Linked DNA regions of Tamandua tetradactyla. The protein of the gene in region 1 interacts with the protein of each later gene in a pairwise test. Links are inferred from orthologs where the notes say so. Each region holds a gene or a part of one and is shown in the gene's direction. Other genes may lie near its edges.

Region 1 (6,981 bases):
CACAGGGCCCTCACATCAGCCCCGCAGGTGAGGAGAAATACCTCCCATTTTACAGCTGAAAAGCTGAGAGCCAAACCCATGGTCCCACTGTGGACACATGCCCAGTCTACCAGGCAGGAAGTCATCGGTGGAGAAGGAGGGCTGCTTCTACGTGAGAAGTTACCGTGTGGAGGAGAGGCCCTTAGAGCAGGATAAGAGGCTGTGGAAGAAAGGAAAGTTGTACATTTTAGTACCTGTAATGGCATTTCTCTCCCTTCTTTTTGAATTAAGTCCCCACACTGGCCTTCTGAAACTTGTCCTGGCAGTGAGCAATCAATGAGAACAAGCACGGAAAGGCATATCCCTAAATAGCGGCTAGAATTACAAGTTTTTAGTTATGCAGCTGGAGATGGTGGATTGCAGCTGAGCCCAGCGGCTGACTGTGGTGTTTAATGTTGCAATAATTGGTTTTGTATTTTATTCTGTAATCTTCAACCTACTGCTTTTTAAATTCTTCAAGCAGATGGATTTAAATAACATGCAAAAGAGGATGGGCCTCTGCCTGCTTGGGGAACTCCCCCCACCGCCATCCCACCCCGTAAAAAAAAGTGGGCTCACAAGCCTGGACTTGAGGCACAACTGCCCAGACCTCAAGGCAAATTTTGCTTGAAGCAGCTGCAACAGTTGCTAAAAAGTAGTACTTTTCAGGAGCTGACTGTCCCCACCCTGACCCCAGGGGGCTGGGGGGCTGGATTGAGGGTAGGGCAGCTGGTAAGGGTAGGGGCAAAGAACAGCTCCCGTTTCCAAGGGGCATGCAGCCGCCTCCTTTCTGCTACCCCCACCCCCACCCCAGCTGCCCCGTCCAGGCCTAGTCCCTCTCTGAGAGCTATCACAACCCCCTCCTCTGCCTGTCTCTCCAAGCCACTCCCACCTGAAGAGATCTTTCTAGAACCTGTCGGCTGGTCCGTGGGCCCCTCGGGGTGGAGACTGGATTGGCCTCTCTGCTCCCCAGTCCTGGCAGGGCCTGATCTGGGGTGCTGCCCGGGTCTGTGGGCCTCGGTGGAAAGAAGCCACCTGTGGTAGGCAGATAGATGGCCAGTGCCCATAGCACCCCAACGAGGGCTCACATCCCTGCGGCCAGTGGTGGCAGAGCATGAGCATGTGGCCCACTTCCGGCCAACGAGAGACAAGGGGAGGTCTTCTGGGAGCTTGGAGAAAATGAGACATAAGGGCAGATGCCCCTTTTCTTACTCAAGACATGCCTGGTCTGGAGTTGGAGCCCAGAGCAGTTGTAGCATCTTGGGGACCAGCTGAAAAGGGAGACATAAGGGGGAGAATGGCCAAGAGACTGAGCTGCATTCCTGAGAACACCCCCAGGGGGCGTCCTGCCGCCGGAGCCCTCGGGGGAGGGGGACGGTACAATTCCTCAGTGCCAGGAACCTCACCCCACAGTGAACTTGGAAGACCAGGTGCCAAGGCTGGGCTCTCATCCCCTTAGCACCACCAACCCCCAACAGCCTCCCTGGGCTAGGTTTTCCATCCGTCAGGTGGGGTGACAGGTTCTGGGCACAGCCCTAGAGAAAGGAAGGACAAAACCGTTTGCTAACAGAGACCTGTTGGTGTGAGATAACTGGAGGTGACAGTCCTGGGTTTGGCGGCTGTGAGGCTGAGTCATATAAACTCTGATCACTGGTTTCCTTGGCTGCGAAATGGGGAATAAGAATAGAGAGCGGCCTGCAGGCTTGGGTGAGGAGTGAATGAGGCAGGCCCTGTAAAAAGCTCATTGGTGCACTGCACACACCATCAGGGCTCCAAAGCAGTTGCTGCCTGTTCTGGTTGCCAGCTGCAAAAGGGCAGGGTGGAGGGACCTCTCTCTGCAGAGAACTTTAAAATCTTTCCACTTGTTCCTCCTATCACATCCTCCCCCAGTTGCTCCAGTCCACTGCCAGCAAGCACCCATCGGGGTGGAGCAGAGTCAAAGGGCTCCGGTGCATTGAGGGATGGGAGGGTTTGCCCAGGTAAGGAAGATTGAGGATGGCAGGCCAGAAGGGAGGGCACGATGGAGCAAAGTGTGCGGGTGGGAGAGCAAAGGGTGCCCTTGCGGAGAGAGAGGAGGCCTGAGGGGAGCTGGAGTTTGTGGGAGGCAGTAGGGGCAGGGGAAGGAGGCTGGCTGCAAAGTTTTCTGCCAATAAGAGAGTGGAGGGCTCTCTATGAACAGAGGGTTTCCGGACTACTTTTGGAATTAGAGGTATCATCCCATTTGATGGATGGGGAAACTGAGCCCAGGGAGACTGGGTCAGTGCTAAGAGGGCAATGGTGCATTGGGGCGAGACTCACAGCCTCTGCTGTAGCCTCTGGGGCTCAAGGTGAGGTTTACAATCTTAGCTGTCTCACTGCAAACAACAGAAAACCCCACTGGAGGGTCCTCAGTGCTGAAGCTGATCAGCAGCTCACCCGGCCAGGGGTGTGGAAGGAGGACGTGTCCCAGGTCGGCAGAGCAGCTCCAGCCCCACTGCCCGGCGACTCTTCCCCCCTGCCCGTGCCATGCGTTCTCTCTGGGACATACCCCTGCCCTCCAAAGCCCGGGCCTATGTACCTGGTACTTGGGAGCTTCGCCAAGTCCCCCAGAGCAGTTTCCTCTGTCTTATCATCTGCCTGAGGATTCGTGGAGAACCCCTGACCCATGCCCTCTGCCACTGCCGGGGCTCCGGCCTCCCTGCGGGCATCTCCTGCTGGGTGGGCGGGTGCCGGGTCCTTGGGGCTGAGCCTGGGCTCCAGACCAGGGCTCCTCCCAACACCATACCTGACTCTGCCCCCAGCACCTGCCCCACCATTCCAGAAAATTCCACAAATGCTCTCCAAACTCTGTCCTTTCCAAAGACTGGGGGTGACAGATGAGGAAACTGAGGCCGGGGAATCAGAGAGTGGATGAAGGTCCCTTAGCACTGAAGGGTAGAGCCCAGACAAAACAAACAGGACCGCCACCTGTTTTCAAACTCCCACCCCTGTGTCTTTCTAGTTCTCTCTCTCTGTCTCCTCTCTCTAGACTCCATCTTCAGAAGGGTCTCCATGCCAGGAGAGGGTCTAATCTGCAGACATGGGTGGGTGTGGGGGGGGGGTGGTGAGCAGTCTCATAAGGTCTCAGGCTAGACGCTGCTCACCCCATCTGCTCCCACGTCTGCCCCCCTCCCCGCCCCTCTGGCCCAGCTGGGTCTGTGTCTGGACTATGAGCTCCTTGAGGCCAGGGCTTGGCCGGAGCAGCAGGGTTTGATGACCGATGGCCGGCCTAGGCCCGGGGCGCCCTCCTGAGCGGTGCGCTGGCGACGGCTGGGGAGTCTAGCGTGGCAGGTGGCGGCGGGATGGGCGCGGGGTTGCAGAGCACCGCGCTTCCTGTGGGTGGGGGCCCGGGGGCCCGCCCGGGGGAGGTTGCACAAACCCTCCGGCGCGGCCTCAGCTGCCTGCCCGCCTGGCCCGCGCGCCGCCTCCCCCCGGGGGTGCGCCCGCTCCCCGCCCGGGTCTGCCCCGCGCTGGGTCGCCGCGGATCGCTCGGGGGCGGGGTGCGCCCCGGGACCGCCCTCCCCGCGATGGGCTCCTTCCTCATTTGGCTGCTGATCGTGGCCCGCAGCGAGCAGGTGGCGCCCCTTTCCTCCCTGCAGCACCTCGCCTCGGAGCCGCTGCAGAGCGCGCGGGCTGGGAGGGCTCCGGGGCCGGCACTGGGACAGGGGCGCGGGCACCCCCACCCCGCCGCCAGCCGGGATGACGCCCCAGCTGCAGTTCAGAGACGCCTTTTGGGTGAGTGAAGGCGCCGCGGGCGCGCGCAGGTGGAGACCGCCCGGGGCGCGGGGCGGGGGTCAGGGGGAGGACCCCAGCCCCACCCCCACCCCACCGAAATTTCCCGTGGATGTGGCTTCCGCCGCGGAGCTTTTTCTCATTAAAAAAAAAAAAGCAGGGGCCACCACTTTGTGGTTCTCGTTGTCGTGGCTGTGCCCCGGGTCACCGCCCCGTCTGTGAACGTGGAAGACCCTCTCCACGCCGGCAGGACCTTTTCTAGGAGAGTCTAATGCAGGGGTGCAGGGCTTGAGGGGCGAAGGGGGGATCACAGCTTTGGGGACCGGACAAAAACTTGGGGTCAGATTTTGTCTGTGCAAGACGTCTTTAGAGGTCCCAGAGCCCCGGCTTCCCTACCTGTGCAGAGGCCTGGGAGGAGGGAACGGGGCGATTCTGTGCAATGAAGGCCCAGCCCCCGCTGGCACAACAAGCGGTCCCCGCACGCAGAGCCTCTTCCCTTCGAGGCTTTCGGGCTCCGAGGAGCAGGGGGCTGGGCCCTTCATTGCTCACTTTCCTAAATTCAGCGCAGGCATCAAACAAGTCCTGGCGCCACGGGATTGCGGCACCTGGCCCGCTCCGGCAGGTGACACGGATCACCTGGCCAGCCGGCCCGGGCCGCCCCGCCCCCCGCCCCCCACCCGGCCCCTTCGCTGTTCTGCAGCCGCCGCTCACCCTTCCCCCGGGCCCTGCTGCTCCGCCGTCCTCGGAGGCTCCCGGGGCGGGGGAAGCTGGGGCCTCTGTGGTTTGAGCCGGGAATGTGACTGTCCCAGGAGAGCTCCAGCCCGCCCCTCACAGGGCTCGCTGGCCCTCCCCGGGCCCTTCCCTGGGGCCAGCTGCCAGGAGGGACGGAGCCAGCGGGCCTGGCTGCCTCCCCTTCCGGGCCACGCTGTGCTTAGCGCCCCAGGCTGAGTGAATAGCCTGCTGTCTGCCGGCGCTGGCCGCAGGGCGGGCAGAGGGCCCAGCCCGGGGAGGCCGCCCCGCCTCTCTCTGGACCTCCGTTTACCCATCTCTACAAAGAGGGGGTGGAGCCAGCTCAGAGAAGCTGGTGAAGGCAGCTCTGGCTTCCAAACCCCAGGGTGCTCCCTGCCCAGCTGGCAGCTAAGGGGTGGAGGGACAGGGGGTTCCGGGGACCAGGAAATGAGTCACCATATCGCTGCCCTGGCCCCAGAGTGCAAGGTTGGGGAGAAAAAGGGCCTGGAAATGCAGCAGACCCAGACTGTTCTCTCTAGGAAATCTATCCCAGCCCAGAGTCCCTGAGCCCACCTTCCCTGCGGCAGAACTGGGGCAAGGAGCTGCCCCCAGGGTAGGCTGTGAGCATGGGGAGGGGGGAAGGGGATGTCAGGGAGCAGGGTGTGGCAGCAGCAGCCCCAGCAGCAGCAAGAAATGGGCCCTGGAGGCAGCTTCCTGTGTGGCATCCTGCTTGAGCCCCCCCCTCCCCCGCCAGAGGCTGTGAGCCTCCAGGGGCCTCCTCTCCTCCATGCCGGACTCCCTGGGCCTGGGGTGAGGGTGCCGCCTCCCTAGGGAAGGCCAGAGCAGGGAGGGGGAAAAGAAGAGGCTGGGGGTGGGGGGGGGTACCTCCCATTCCAAGCCTGGGCGCAACCTCAGAAGTCACTGTCAGCACCACCTGCCCCCAAGTTCTGAATTCTAGCACCTCTCCATGATGTTAAGCCTGGCCTGGGATCTGGGATAACAGTAGCATTTCCTGAGCACTATTAATGTGTGAGCTGCTGTTCTCAGGGCTGTGTAGACTTTAACTCAGTCCTCCCAGCACCTGATGGAGTAGCTGCTATTGTTATCCTCATCACTCAGAGGAGGATGTTGAGGCTGAGAGAACCAAAGTCTCTTGTCCCACAGCTAGGATCGGACCCCGCCAGGCTGGCAGTGGTGCTGGGCTCTCAGCTCCCAGACTACCCTCCACCTGGAGATCCTTGGGCCTCAGCACCCACATCCACAAGATGGGGGATAGATTCTCTCTTTCCTTCCTCCCAGAGGGGTAGGAGGGCCCGTCTAGGTGCTTGGAGCATTTACATTTCAGTTGCAATGCAGTGTTTCTGTGGAGTGGGTTAGGGGCAGAGCCCAGCCTGCGGTGCCCCCCAGCCTGAGGCAATGCCATCTCATCCTGCAGCCCGGCAGAGCACTGCTTGACAATCACTAGGCTTTAAATAATGGAAGGAAACCCCTGAAGGAGCGTGTCTCATTCCACAGCACTTCATTTACCACGTGCTTCTGGCCCGAACACAGGGTGAAATTGGGCAAGGAGGAAAGCAAATGTGGTTTCTGAGTCGCCAAACCTGCTGTCCCTAACAGTTTGCATCACCGCTTACTCGTAGAAGCCCCCGGCTTTTGGTCGGGGCCTGTGAACTCTGATTTTCCTTGCAGTTCCAACAAGCTTGGTCGCATAGTCTTTAACCCGCTAAGGCAGCATTCAGGAGGGAGTCTGCACAATATCTGATATGTAGCTGGTGATCATAAATGTTGGGGGACCTGAGCTTCTAGAGGCAATTTCACTAATGACTTATAGTCTGATAGCCAGAAAGGAGATGGAAAAATTGTGAAAAGCAGACATAATGGTTCAGAAGTGGTGGGGCCGTTCAGTGTGGGGGTTCTGTCCCTTAGGAGGCCTGTATTGGAATTTTGTCCGTGCGGCCACACAGTGTTTATCTATAGCCAGCTTTTATCTGCAGCAGGTCAGCGTGGGAGTGAGGTGGAGTGGACTCGAAGCAGGGGGAGGAAAGGAATAATTTGATCTCTGTTATACACAGACAAGTGATAAAGAGTGTCACCGCCTTACAGGAAGTTTGTGGCAGAGCCTCGGAGTGGGGCCTGCCAGCAGGACAAGGATGAGGCTGAGAAGCTCGGGCATCTGAGTGGGAGGGTTTTAGACTAGCGCTTAGTCTAAGGGGCTCGGAAGTCTAGAGGAGACAGAGTCCCAGCAGGCAGCCAAGTGGGGCTGGAAGAAAAGTCTGTCTGCATGCAGAGTGTGTGCTCAGTAAGTGTTTGTGGAGAAGATGAATGAATAGTGGGGGGCCCCGTTTCATGGCCCACCCGCCCTCCTGATCCCATCTTCTCCTTCACTGCACATCAGCTGTGTTCTATACACATTTTTTGAGTTGGGTTCTCTAGCAGGTGGGCCAAGCCATACCCCTGAGCTCACCCCCACATCCAATCCACCAG
Region 2 (6,981 bases), on another chromosome or scaffold:
AGATAGGTGCAAACCATCTGATCACAATCCTTCTACTCCTTTTATTTAAACCTTTACTTTTTACTTATCAAGTTTACTTTCCTGTGACTTAAAGCCTCTGCATTGTTCCTATACTAGTTAAGTCCTGGAACCCAGTGGCACCAGTCTCTCCAGAACAACCAGTCTCACCCCCCTACCCCATAACACAGGTGCCCCTTTCCAGCATCAAGAAGTTAGAATTGATTTGGTACAAAATTCATATTTTGACTAGTGCATCTCCTAATGTAACTTATGTTGATAGCTTGATTGAACACCATAAGTACTTGGAATCTTGGGTAGGACATGAGATTTTGTCGGTTTGTCCAGGTGATGCCCCAATAAATCCCAGAGTGATTCGATCAGTGAGTGGAAAAATATTTGCAAAGAATGGTGAGAATGGGGGAAAATTCAACTTCCCAAGTTGAATTCTTGATATCTCACAAGCAGTGTAGACAACCAAAGCTATAAACTGAGCCCCGAGTCTTGGGGGTTGTTCATATGAAAATTACCCCACAAAGGACACTAAGCCTACTTAAAATTAGGCCTAAGAGTCACCCCCAAGAGAGCCTCTTTTGTTGCTCACACGTGGCCTCTCTCTCCAGCCAACACAACAAGCAAGCTCACCACCCTCCCCCTCTCTACGTGGGACATGACTCCCAGGGGTGTGTACCTTCCTGGCAACGTGGAACAGAAATCCTAGAATGAGCTGAGACTCAGCATCAAGGGATTGAGAAAACCTTTTCTACCAAAAGGGGAAAGAGAGAAATGAGACAAAATAAAGTGTCAGTGGCTGAGAGATTCCAAACAGAGTTGAGAGGTTATCCTGGAGGTTATTCTTACGCATTAAGTAGATATCACCTTGTTATTCAAGATGTAATGGAGAGGCTGGAGGGAACTGCCTGAAAACGTACAGCTGTTTGTCCCAGTACCCATGTTTCTTGAGGATGATTGAATAATGATATAGCTTTCACAATGTGACTGTGTGATTGTGAAAACCTTGTGTCTGATGCTCCTTTCATCTACCCTGTCAACAGACGAGTAGAACATATGGAATATAAACAAATAATAGGGGGAACAAATGTTAAAATAAAAAAATTAAAAAATATTAAAAATAAATTAAAAAAACAGAAAAAAAAAAAAGTTAGAATCGTCTTTGTCCAGCTATCCCGCAAGACTGAGGAAATGGAGAAGCAAGAGGAAGGAGATACAACCTAGAATTTAAAAATGAGTAAATGATTCCTGAATCATTATATTGATGCTTTTTTCCTTCTATGGTGTAGAATGACCAAAAGTTAATACCTGAAATTGCTGGAAGTGACTGAACTCGTTCCAGCCTTTGTGTGCCCTTACTATTGTGATTGTTTTGGCCTTGACCCAGCCATTGTTCATACTCGCTGCTGTGAAGATAACTGTTCTGTACCCCAGAAAAGACACACACTGCTTTAATGCATTCTTGTGGAGCAGACCTACAGTGGTGTGACCTTTCGGTCACGCTACTTTAATTCAGACGTGGCCCAAGCCCATTTCCGAAGGGTCTCCATCCTTTACTGGAGTCCTTTAAGAGCGCTCAGGGGGGCGATTTCAGAAAGAACCCCCCCCCCCAGGAGAAACTAAGAGAGAAACGCCCAGAGACATTTTGGAGATGGACCAGCAGACTGATCACGTGCCTTCCCACATGAAAGAAGAATTCCCCACGCCAGCAGCCTTTTCTCGGAGAAGGGATCTTTCTCTTTCTCTCTTTTTTTTAATGGGCAGGCACCGGGAATCGAACCCGGATCCTCTGGCATGACAGGCGAGCAGTCTGCCTGCTGAGCCACGGTGGCCCTGGGGATCTTTCTCTTGAAGCCATTTTCACGGCCTTAGAACCATAAATTTGTAACCTAATAAATCCCGTCGCAAAAGCCAACCCATTTCTGGTATATCGCATTTCAGCAGCTTTAGCAAACCGAAACACACTCCATCTTTCATTATTTGAATCCATAAAATATCCAACTCCTTAGACCCGGGGAGATAGACTTCCTGATCTACTTCACGCTTAGCAACACATTCTCTCTTTCACGGTGAAGGAGTTGGCCATTGGGTGCATCGGGCAGAGACCCCCCTGCTTTTCTTTAGTAACAGGTGCTGCGGGTTGAGCTGTGGCCCCAAGATGCACCTACCTCCTGGCTCGGGTACCTGCGCGTGTGCCTGATTTAGGAATGGGGCCTTTGCAGATGTCACTAAGCTAAGGGTTGCCAGGAGTCACCCTGGATTAGCGTGCGCCCTAAACCCCAGGACAGTTGTCCTTACAAGAGAGGAAAGGGAGAAGGCCACGTGAAGTGGGGCAGCCAGGACATGGGGGATGGCCGGCGGCCCCCGGGGGCTGGGAGAGGGGCGTGGAGCAGGCCTGCTCCCTCCCGCCTCCGGGCTCCCCAGCTGTGAGACCAACTGCGATGAAAGTCCCCAAGTGTGCGGGAATCCGTCCTGCAGCCCTGGGCCTGAATCCACCCGCCTGCTCCCCGGGCTCCCCGGGCTCCCGGGACTGGTTCCTAGGAGGGGGGGTTGCCAGGTTTGAGCATTTCCGCGTCTCCACGAGCAGGGGCGGAGCAGGTGCTCGGGGGTGACGGGTTGCACGCCCACGGGCAGAGCGCTTTCCCGGCCCGGCAATCCGTCCTCCCCGCGCCCCGTAGAGTGGCTACTATTATCCCTATCTCACAGGCGGTACACTGAGGCTCGGAGGGGCGCCGTCGGGATTCCAACCAGCGCAAGGCCCTCATTAAGTAACAACCACAATGGGGGCCATCAGGCCCGCTCCTGTCCCCCCCGGGCCGGGGCCGCAGCCGCCCAGCCGCCCGCCGCCGGCAGTGACAACCGCTGCCCACCACGTGGAGCTCGGGAGCCCGCGTGAGCGTCGCACGGCGCATGCGTCACTAACCACAAGGCCTCCTGCGCCGCCGCGCGCTGCCCCGCCCCCCTTTGCAGCCCTCGCCGCCGCGCTTTTCGGCCGCAGCCTTTTCTCCTCAGACGGGAAGTCGCCCCCGCCCCGCCCTCGTGCCCAGAAGCCGCCGCTCTGCCCGAGGATTGGTTACCCGGGCCCAGGGCCCTGTGTTGATTGGCTCGCGCCGCCGCCACTCCTCTTCGGCCTGGTGGCGCGCGGCGGAACGGCAGCCGGCGGGAGCGCGAGCGGCGACGGAAGTGGCTGGCTGGCCGGGTCCCCGCTGGCACCATGGTGAGGGCAGGCCGGCGGCGGGGCCTCGCCGGGAAGTGGGGTCGCGACGACCGGGGCCGCGGGGATCCGGGGGCGCGCATGCCTCGGGGCCCGAGCCCCGCCCCCGGCGCAGGCGGGGAAACTGAGGCCGGCCGCGCGCCGGGAGCGCGGGCCGGGCAGAGCACCCCCGCTCAGCCGTGCGGCGCATTCCAGGCTCCGCCGCGGCCCGTCCCGCACCGTCCTGGGCCGGGGAACAGGGCCCGAGGCCAGGCTTCCGCTCCGCCTGTCCCGGCGCACCGGGGAAGAAGGGAGGCCGCGCAGGGCTCGTGGCGCGCTCTCCGTCCGGCCCGAGGTCCGGTGTACAACCAGCGCCGCGCTGGGGAGACCTGCGCCGCATCCCGCTGGCCGGCAGGACCCGGAGGAGGGGTCCGCGAGGCCTCAGCCCCGTGGGGCCGCCCTTCGTTCCCATCTGTAGTGTCTCCTTGGAGCCTGTGCGAAGCGTGGGTGTTCAGGGCTATCTCCTGGAAATGGGCCGCCGGGGTCCTCGACTCCTGGCCCTACGGGAGGTTCCGTGCTCCCAGAGCAGACCCATAGAGACGCTCCCCTCATACGGGGCTGGGCCCCGGGGGAGCCCGAGAAGGGAATCACGGCCCCCTGTGGGGGTCCCGGAAGGCTTCCTGGGTGAGAGGCCACTCGGACCAGCCCTCCGTGGCTTTATGCCTGAGGTCTGCATGGCAGTCATAACGGGAGGGCCAGAGTGGCCCTTTCTCCTCCTGGTGGCATCTGGTGCATCTTCCTCTCCCTGGGGTGTCACGCCCCTGAGGACCAGTCTCTCACCCCTGCCTTCTCTCCAGCAGTTTGGGGCTGAGAATGTGGAAGGCTGGCAGAGGGCTCTGTCGTGGCCTGGACCGGCTTTGACCGGGGCACCTCCCAGTCCTGACGCCGCCTCATCTGTGAGGCAGGGACAGGCCCTGGGTATGGACCAAGTCCACACTCCCTTAAAATTTTCCAGGCCAGCAGGGGACTCGCCAGGGAGTTATAATAAATAAACAGAAGAAGAGACTGGCTGAGTCCTGTCCTGGAAACAGGCCCGGGGCAGGGGCGGTATCAGGACGCCCAGGGAGGTATGGGGGCAAAGGTCGCCAGGCAGAGTGGGCATGGTGTGCAGACAGGAGCAGGTCAGGGCAAGTGTTTTCTGCTAGATGAGCAGAAGCCTCTGGGGGGGCCGTGGCAGATGTCTCAGGCACTGCTTTGTGGGGAGGGGCTGCAGGGTCCTCCAGGGCCGTCCTGACCCTGGGTGCAGAGGTTGTGTCCACCGTATGAGGATGTCCATGGTCACCGTCGGGTGCTCCCAGGGTCACATGCAAACCGGGGTCTGCACCGGACACCCAGGCCTTTCCCCAGACTGGGTCCAACAGGCTTGAGCAAGCCCCCGCTTCAGGAGGTCATGACCCACCTGTTGTACAGCCCACACAAACCAGCCTGAGGCCCCTTTTCCCTCGGGGACTCCCCCAAGCCACCCAGAGGCGTTCTGGGCGTGGCCCCACACCATGCAGCCGTCCTTTCCCCTTATCTTGCCCTTCCAGGAAACCGGGTGAGGAAGTGGACGTGGGCCTGGCTTCCTGCTAGCACCAGGCCTTCCCTGGTGGTTCCTTGGGATAGCCGGGCAGTCCCACGTCTCCCCTCAGTAGAGGCCTGCGTGTCCCCCCACCTGGAAAAACAGGGTCCTGTGGACCCCAGAGTGTCCCTGGAGGGAGCTTCTCAGGAGGGGAGGCTAAGTCGGGTCACAGGGAAGTCTCCAGCCTCCCTGGGAGACAGTTCTCGTTTTCCTTGTGCACCAGCCGCCACACAGAGCCACAGTCTGCCCTCCGTGGTTGTTGTCTCGACAATGAAAAGAGCTGGCTTTAATTTTTTTCCCATCGTAAAAATCATATATGTAACTGTAAAAAAGATCTCTAATGATGGTAAAAGAAATTGAGTATCTTGAGTACTTAGTGGATCTGGATATGTCTCTAGAGAGCTCATCCTTTCTTTGTGGTGAATTTGCAATACCCACAGGCTTTTCTGGAATGTTCCCTCTCACCTGGTGAGTTCTCCTCTTTGCAAACCCAGCTCAGGTGTCACCAGCGGGGCCCGGCAGGGTTTTGGTCCAGTCCCGGCTGTCCTTTGGCGTGGCGTTTGGTGGCACTGGCTTCAGGCATGGGGTCAGCCGCAGCTTTGCTGCTCCCTGGCTCTAGCCCTGGGCCAGCTCCTGGGTCTTGTCCCCATGAGGCAGGTGCAGCGGGAGCTGCCGGGGTGTTGAGCAGATGGTGGCTCTGTGGGACGGACTGGCTCCTGGGGACCCCGTGGAACGCAGGTGGGGTGGGGATGAGGGTGGCGTAGGATCTGCCCCAGGTGCAGCCCCAGCAGCCCAAATCACGGCTTCTGCTTGCCTTTCAGCTCCCCCTGTCGCTGCTGAAGACGGCGCAGAACCACCCCATGGTGAGTGCGTGTTTGGGGGTTGGAGGTGACGCAGGCTCTGTGCGGGCCTGGATATGTGTGGACACAGGGGCCGCGGTTCTGCCGTGTCCAGATGGGCTCGTGGGGGGCATGTCGCCCAAGATGGCTTCTGTCCTCAGTGCTCGGTGGGGCACCTGTCCACGTCACACGACCTTTCCACTTGTGGGGTTCTCGTTGGTGTTTCATTCACAGTCCGTAAAGTCACAGCTGTTGAGGGGACGTTTCACTGTGAGCCGCTCGGGCCCCCTGCGTCTCCGTCTCCTTGGGTGACCAGTTCAGTGTAGTCCGCTCTTAGGGACCACAGCCTGTGGGGTGCAGACGCATGGGTTTCCCTGAACGGCTGTTTTCTGTTGCCGTGCGTACAGCCCTGCACTTCCCTTAAACCGTGCTCGCGTCCACGTCTCAGCGCTGTCAATTGCATTTGCGGTTGTGCTGCTGTCCCTTCCCTCCCCCACCAGAACGCACCCATTGCTCCAAGTAGGAGCCCTATACTAAGCTTTAAGCCTTGGCTCCCGCTCCCTGCGCCCGGTTGTCCCCTCGCAGCCTCTATTCCTGATCTGAGCCTCTGAGTTTACTTCTAATTCTTCCGTGTAAGTGAGGTCATACAGCACTTGCCCTTATGTGTCTGGCTGCTTTCAGGCTGCCCAGTGCCCCCCAGGCTCTTCCGTATTGTCGCGTGCTCCAGGACGTCCTTTTCTGGGCTTAGCGGCACGCCCATTGTGCTACCACATTGTGCTTGCCTGCTCCTGGTGTGGGCACTTGGGTTGCGTCCGCCTTTTGGCAGTTATGCACGGTGCTGCTGTGGACGCCATTGTGGGATGTCTGTTCACGTCCCAGCTTTCAGTTCGGGGCGCATTCTGAGGTGCAGGATTGACGGGTCGCCTGTCCCCTCTTGCCTGCTGGCTTCCTTTCTCCCCCCAGCCAACCCTACTGGCACCAGCTACCTGCCAGCCCTCAGCTCCCCCTGTGAGATGGGAACTTGCTGTCCTGTCTTCCCCTCCTGCGGCCCCTGTCCCTGCCCTTGTCCACCCCGTGCCCTCTGTGCTGCAGTGTCCCTTTTGTTGGTTGGCCATCTTAAGTAGATTTTTTTATACGGAACAGCTTGATGGCACTTGAGTCCACGTTCAGTGCGTTCACCTGTTTGAAGTAACTCAGCGGCATTTAGTGTGTCTGCAGTGTTGTGCAACCACCACCACTTCTAGTTCCAGAACGTTTCATTCCCCCAAATAGAGACCCCGTCCCCCATCTGCAGCTCCCATAGCTCCCAGCCTCCTCTT
Region 3 (6,981 bases), on another chromosome or scaffold:
CACCATCTGGTACTTGCTCCCGGTTCGTTGCTTTCAGCTTCTGATTCCAGTGGTTTTTCTCTCTAAACATCTGTGGAACCTTTCTTAACATTTCTGGGGCAAACTCTGGATTTCATTTCTCTGCTCAGCCTCTCCAAACATCTGTGTCTGGTTTCATCTCTCTGCTCTGTGTCGGCCCTCCAAGCATCTCCAGCTCTGAGCTCTCTGTGTCCACTCTTTTAAGGATTCCAGTAAACTGGTTAAAACCCACCTTGAATGGGTGGGGCCACGCCTCCATGGAAATAATCTAATCAAGATTATTATCGCCCGTGGTGATTCTTCCCCCACAAGACTGGATTAGAAGAATGTGGTTTTTCTGGGATACATGGCAGTTTCAAAACAGCATAGTTTCCGAATCTATGCTCCTTATAATAATGATGCAGCCACCAAGATGCAAGATATCTTTTCTATGTATTTCTCTATTACTCTTTACCCATGCATGCATTTATAACATATCTTAACTACTGACCTGTCAACTTTTTCTAGTTTGTGAGACCTATAAAGACAAGGATTATATTTTTTCATGTCATATCCTTACAGCTATTTTTGTGACTTGAAACTTAGAAAGTATTTGAATATCTGATGATTGGAAATATAAGTAAATGTATTTAAAATTATGCCTTTGGTATTATGCAAGGACAAATTCTATTCTGAAATTTGGCTCAACTTAATTTAGCAACTAAATAAATTACAATGTATAAGTAATCATTTCACAGATTTTCAGAAATGGAAACTAAATACTCTTGTGATAATATTTCTTATTATGGTAATATTTAGGTCTTGCTTATCTCTCTCCTGCTCTCAGGGGATCTCCTCTGCATATCTTCAATGATATAATGCTCTGCTTCCCATAGGAAATATTCTCAATCCCTTCAACAACAATACACATATACTCTGTGTAAGGCCAGTCTCAATTTCACTTGCTATACAAACACCTGTCAGGAGTTAGAGGAATACACTATAGGTATTCTTGGGTGCACACCTCCATTTTCCCTAAGTACTCACTTCCCATGAAACAAGTCCTGGTCTAGATTACCAGTTATTTGTTACTTGTTCCATGTTTTCATTTAAAAATGTTATAAGCTTTTGAAGAACATGGAACATGTTTTATAGCTCTTAACATATACCACAAATTAATGTATTATTGTGATATAATGTGAAAAATGATTTTACTTACATTTAAGTTGGTAGATTCACAGATGGTCTTTATAGACAAATATAAAGAGCATGGCATTTCCTCTTAGAAAGCAGATTGAGGATCAACCTAGGGAAAGAGACTTTTTCTTAACTGTGTACCATTTTCTGATGTTTGAATTTTTAACCTACACATGTTTTTAAAACATAAAAATGAAAAAGTAATGACATTACTAACTGTATATGACTGAACTCAACAAGCATTTATAGGAGAATATTTGTGATTACTCAATAAATGGCCTGAATAAAACATTCCATTAGCCAGGGCATTTTAATGGATCCTTATTGCCAGGCATTCAAAAAAGCAATAATCAAATGCAGTGTATTGTCCTTGTTTGGAATCACATTCAATCGAACCAACAGTAGAAAGACATTTTTGAGGAAAATGGAGAAAATCAAACATTCTAAGTATATTAAGGAGTAATTGCTAAATTTGTTGGTTGAAATAGAGATACTTGATTCTATTTTAAAAATCCTTTTCTATTAGAGAATACTGAAACATTTAGAGGTAAAATATATGATGTCTAGGATTTGTTTTAAAATATGCCAGATGTATTTATGAATTACTTGCTCAAAGAGAAAAAACTGATAATGAAAAAAATTCGTAGAGACACATGGTGGCGCTGCAGGATAAGATGAAAAACAAAGCATGGCAGATACTGTGGGTTCAATGTTAAGTTCAACAGAGAACAGAGAGCATTGGGTCCACTGAAAACAGAGTATCAGTGGAGTTTCACCTACAGAGCTGCTGGAGGGTTATATACCTTCCAGGGTTTTTTTTTGTGTTTGTTTTTGTCTTTTTTTCCCACTCAAGAGGTTGCCTGCAGGAACCATGGAAACCAGAGGGGTGCTGGCTCTGCGGAAAAGGCAAGTCCTTATTCTCTTTGTTTTGTTGGGATTGTCTCGGGCAGGTCCTGAATCTGGGCGTTATTTTGTGGCAGAGGAAACAGAAATTGGTTCTTTTGTGGCCAATCTGGCAAGGGACCTGGGGCTGAAAGCAGACCAGCTGTCCTCACGGGAAGCCCGGGTAGTGTCTGATGATAATAAAAAGCATTTGCACCTTGATTTGCTGACTGGGGATTTGCTCTTAAATGAGAAACTGGACCGAGAAGAGCTATGTGGCTCTTTTGAGCCCTGTGTTGTGCATTTTCAGGTGTTAATGAAAAACCCTTTACAGTTTTTCCGGGCTGAGCTGCACATCAAAGATATAAATGATCATTCCCCTACATTTCTGGACAAAGAAATACTTTTGAAAATATCAGAAAGTACCACTATTGGAACCACATTCCTAATGGAAAGTGCTCAAGATTTGGACGTAGGAAGCAACAGTCTCCAAAACTACACAATTAGCTCTAATTCTCATTTCTACATTAAAATTCGAGAGAGCAGTGATGGGAAGATATACCCAGAGCTGGTCCTGGACAAAGCGTTAGATCACGAGGAGGAGCCTGAGTTCAGATTAACACTCATAGCGCTGGATGGCGGGTCCCCGCCCAGATCTGGGACAACCTTGGTTCTCATCAAGGTCTTGGACATCAACGACAATGCCCCTGAGTTTGCTCAGAGTCTGTATGAGGTGCAAGTCCCGGAGGACACACCGCCCGGCTCACGAGTTACCACCATCTCTGCTACCGACCTGGATGCAGGGAATTATGGGAAAATATCTTACACATTTTTTCACGCATCGGAAGACATTCGCAAAACATTCGAAATCAATTCAATATCTGGGGAAATTAATTTGAAATCACACCTGGATTTTGAAGTAATACAAACCTACACTATAAATATCCAGGCAACAGATGGTGGAGGTCTTTCAGAAAAATGCACCCTTCTGGTTAAAGTAATAGATATAAATGACAATCCACCGGAAGTAACCATGTCGTCAGTTACAAACAGTATTCCAGAGAACGCTCCAGAGACCCTCGTCGCTGTTTTTAGCGTCCGTGATCAAGACTCTGGAGACAATGGGAGAACGGTTTGCTCTATTCAGGACGACCTCCCCTTTTTCCTGAAACCAACCTTCAAAAATTTTTTCACTTTGGTTACTGAAAAAGCACTGGATAGAGAGTCGACAGCTGAATACAACGTCACCATCACTGTCACCGACCTGGGGACCCCCAGGCTGAAAACCCAGCACAGCATAACCGTGCGCGTCTCCGACGTCAACGACAACGCGCCCACCTTCACCCAGACCTCCTACACCCTGTACGTCCGCGAGAACAACAGCCCCGCCCTGCACATCGGCAGCGTCAGCGCCACCGACAGGGACTCGGGCCCCAACGCCCAAGTCACCTACTCGCTGCTGCCGCCCCAGGACGCGCGGCTGCCCCTGGCCTCCCTCGTCTCCGTCAGCGCCGACCACGGCCAGCTGTTCGCGCTCAGGGCCCTGGACCACGAGGCCCTGCAGGCCTTCGAGTTCCGCGTGCGCGCGGCCGACGCGGGCTCCCCGGCGCTGAGCAGCGAGGCGCTGGTGCGCGTGCTGGTGCTGGACGACAACGACAACGCGCCGTCGGTGCTCTACCCGCGCCACAACGGCTCGGCGCCCTGCACCGAGCTGGTGCCCAGGGCGGCCGAGGCGGGCTACCTGGTGACCAAGGTGGTGGCGGTGGACGGCGACTCGGGCCAGAACGCCTGGCTGTCCTACCAGCTGCTCAAGGCCACGGAGCCCGGGCTGTTCGGCGTGTGGGCGCACAACGGCGAGGTGCGCACCGCCAGGCTGCTGAGCGAGCGCGACGCGCCCAGGCACAGGCTCGTCGTGCTGGTCAGGGACAACGGCGAGCCGCCGCGCTCGGCCACCGCCACGCTGCACGTGCTGCTGGTGGACGGCTTCTCCCAGCCCTACCTGCCGCTCCCGGAGGCGGCCCGGGCCCGCGCCCAGGCCGACTCGCTCACCGTGTCCTTGGTGGTGGCGCTGGCCGCGGTCTCGTCGCTCTTCCTGCTCTCGGTGCTGCTGTTCGTGGCGCTGCGGCTGTGCGCGAGGCCCAGGGCGGCGTCGGGGCCCGAGGGCCACTTTCCCGGGCACTTGGTGGACGTGAGCGGCACCGGGACCCTGTCGCAGAGCTACCAGTACGAGGTATGCGTCATGGGAGACTCTGTAAGTGAAGAGTTCAAATTTCTGAAGCCAATTATCCCCAACGTCTCAGTCCAAGACCCTGTTAAAAATACGGGGGAAACCGCCTACATCCGGAATAGTTTTGGATTCAACATTCAGTAAAACAAAAATTTAAATTACTTTTATCCTTGAATTTTCTTGGCATGCAAACTGTTGATATTTTTTGTTGATCTGTAATGGATTTTAGGTTGTATTATAATTGCATTTGTCATCATTTCTTGCTCTCCTTACATTTATTTTTAAAATATCAGTGGCTATGAGGAAATGGAAATATGAATCAGCATTTTGTTGTTGTATTAACTTGCTTCAAAAGGTTGTATTAAGGGGCTATTGTTATTTTTGTTGTGTAATTATATGGTTATTAGGTCAGATTATGTTCTTAGTAACTGGATATGCATACTGAAGTATTTAAGAATGAATGTCAGTATGTGTAATTGATAAAGAAAAAAACACAGATAAAGCAAAATTCCAAAATACTATCCATTATTCGTTATCTGGAAGTTTTTACCATAAAAAGTATTTAAAAAAGAGATGCTACCTTTGCATATTCCATACTGGAGAACATTTTGTTGTTATACATGGGTAAGAGCTGACTTCATAACGAAATAAAATTGGAAATTATTGATTTGTTAAGCATGTAATTTTTTTCTTTACATATTTTTGCTATTGTTGTTATTGTTGTAGGGGAGGAGTCTTATAATGCTGTGGGCCTTTATATGCTATTTTGTTTCATTTAAATGTACGATGTTTAGTAACTTAAAATTACTATTATTTTATATTGTTTATTACTAAGTAACCTGAATGTAGTTCATGATTTCATTCTAATGAATAACCTTCATTAGAAGAATACAAGATGAAGACTTCTTTAAAAATTGAACTGAAAATCCAAACTGTTAAGATGACTTAGGCTGACTTTCCTATTCATTCTGAAGAGTGAATATAAAATATCCTTAATACTTTGTGACCTAACGCAGATATCTAAAAGATGGAATGTTTCTTACAAGTTATATATGACTCATCTGTGTGACAAATTACAATGTCTCATTTACAAGTGGCAATTGAATGGAAGATTATAGGTAGTAGAGATTTTGCTAACTGGACTATAGTGTGCATTTATGGCTAGTGTGTAATACACTTCTGCATGTGCTCTCATAAAACTAAATAAAACAGACTAGATGATGTAGTAAAATGGAACTGCACTTGCAATTGTGAAGTGGATGGAACAAATTCTGATTTCTTTAGGCATCTTTTTTACCCTGATTCATGCAATTTTGACTGGTTTGTGTTGCAACAAGTATTTACTAGTTGTGAGAACTTCATGTAAATAGACATTTAAATAATAAAAATCCTTAAAAAGAATATTTGGGCCCTCTTTATAACTTGGAACCACTAGAAGCAAAATCATACCCGTGAAAGTCACTGGAAGGTTTAATGGGTAAATACTGCTGAAAGAAAGAAGAGTCGGAAGAATAGAATAAGAAGATAGAAAAAAATGAGATGGAAAAAAGGATTAAGATCATCGTTTCTTTTCCCCCAACATCACCCAACTAGAAATGAAATTTTAAAATAGTAACAAAACCTAATATTTCTAGGAATTAGTCTAACAAAGAATGCAGAAATACTTTATGGAAAAAAAATGAAGTCAATACATTATTAAATGAAATAATTAAATAACTGAATAAATTGAGAAAGATAGAGGTTTCTTGACAGAGTAACTTAACATGACACCTATCTATTCTTCCCAAAATAATGTATAAATTCAATGCAATTTTTAATATTGACATAGAAGAAAAATTTCATGAAGAGCTAAGACAATTTTTATAAAGCAGTGGGAATGCCTTACCCTATAGATATAAGAACACATTACAAATATGAGGTAAATAAATCTATTTGAATGATTCAGGAACAGACTAGTTGTACCACCATATAGAATAGAATAAAGAGTCAAGTCTGTTTATATAAAAGAACTTGGTCTTCATAGAAGATGTGTCAAAATCACTGGTGAGAAAACTGATTACCTAGCAAAGGTTATTGGAAAAGCTTACATAAGAAAAAAATCCCTATTGCATGTCATATAAAAGTAAACTTCATATGGATCTAAGAGCTGAATTTGAAATATTTGAATTACAAAAAAAATTAATCAAGGCAAATATAACTTTATGACCTTAAGATTGGTTTGAATTTATTAAGCAAAGCTGCTGTAAAAGTACAAACCATAAAGACAAAAATTGATGAATGTGCCAAGAGATGGAAATGGCCCAAATGTCCATCAGTGGATGGGTGGCTAAACAAGCTGTGGTATATACATACAATGGAATATTATGCAGCTGTAAAGCACAATAAAGTCATGAAACATGTAACAACATGGATAAACTTTGTAGATCTTATGCCGAGTGAAATTAGCCAGATACAAAACGACAGATACTCTATGGTCTCACTATTATGAACTAAGATTAATGAGAGAACTTTGAGAGTTGAAGTTAAGAACACTGGTTATCAGGAGATAGACATTGAACAGAGATTGGACATTTGGTGGTGAAGGAGCACAGATTATACAGCAGGACTGATTGCAAAATTTCAGAAACAGATAGCACAATACTACCTGACTGTAGAACAATAACATAAGTGTACTGAGT

Evidence for each region.
Region 2: the proteins of PSTPIP1 (region 1) and LSM4 interact in binary tests that used the Homo sapiens proteins (3 or more experiments, as listed by UniProt). The two-hybrid records come from large-scale screens. The link is inferred for Tamandua tetradactyla from reciprocal best matches to the Homo sapiens genes PSTPIP1 and LSM4.
Region 3: the proteins of PSTPIP1 (region 1) and PCDHB14 interact in binary tests that used the Homo sapiens proteins (3 or more experiments, as listed by UniProt). The two-hybrid records come from large-scale screens. The link is inferred for Tamandua tetradactyla from reciprocal best matches to the Homo sapiens genes PSTPIP1 and PCDHB14.

What each region holds. Positions count from the first base shown.
Region 1 is NC_135340.1:89,855,337-89,862,317, reverse strand, and holds the start of PSTPIP1 (proline-serine-threonine phosphatase-interacting protein 1), read left to right. Parts: upstream 1-3,578; 5' UTR 3,579-3,735; coding exon 3,736-3,771; intron 3,772-4,164; coding exon of another isoform or gene 4,165-4,321; intron 4,322-4,479; coding exon of another isoform or gene 4,480-4,814; exon of another isoform or gene 4,815-4,847; intron 4,848-6,981. Other genes in the region: uncharacterized protein LOC143656381, read right to left, coding at 42-199, 911-1,053, 1,231-1,289, 4,165-4,321, 4,480-4,814. UniProt on the Homo sapiens protein: Involved in regulation of the actin cytoskeleton. May regulate WAS actin-bundling activity. Bridges the interaction between ABL1 and PTPN18 leading to ABL1 dephosphorylation.
Region 2 is NC_135337.1:96,201,273-96,208,253, forward strand, and holds the start of LSM4 (U6 snRNA-associated Sm-like protein LSm4), read left to right. Parts: upstream 1-3,112; 5' UTR 3,113-3,223; coding exon 3,224-3,226; intron 3,227-5,644; coding exon 5,645-5,686; intron 5,687-6,981. UniProt on the Homo sapiens protein: Plays a role in pre-mRNA splicing as component of the U4/U6-U5 tri-snRNP complex that is involved in spliceosome assembly, and as component of the precatalytic spliceosome (spliceosome B complex).
Region 3 is NC_135346.1:21,271,376-21,278,356, forward strand, and holds PCDHB14 (protocadherin beta-14), read left to right. Parts: upstream 1-1,855; 5' UTR 1,856-2,065; coding exon 2,066-4,447; 3' UTR 4,448-6,967; downstream 6,968-6,981. UniProt on the Homo sapiens protein: Potential calcium-dependent cell-adhesion protein. May be involved in the establishment and maintenance of specific neuronal connections in the brain.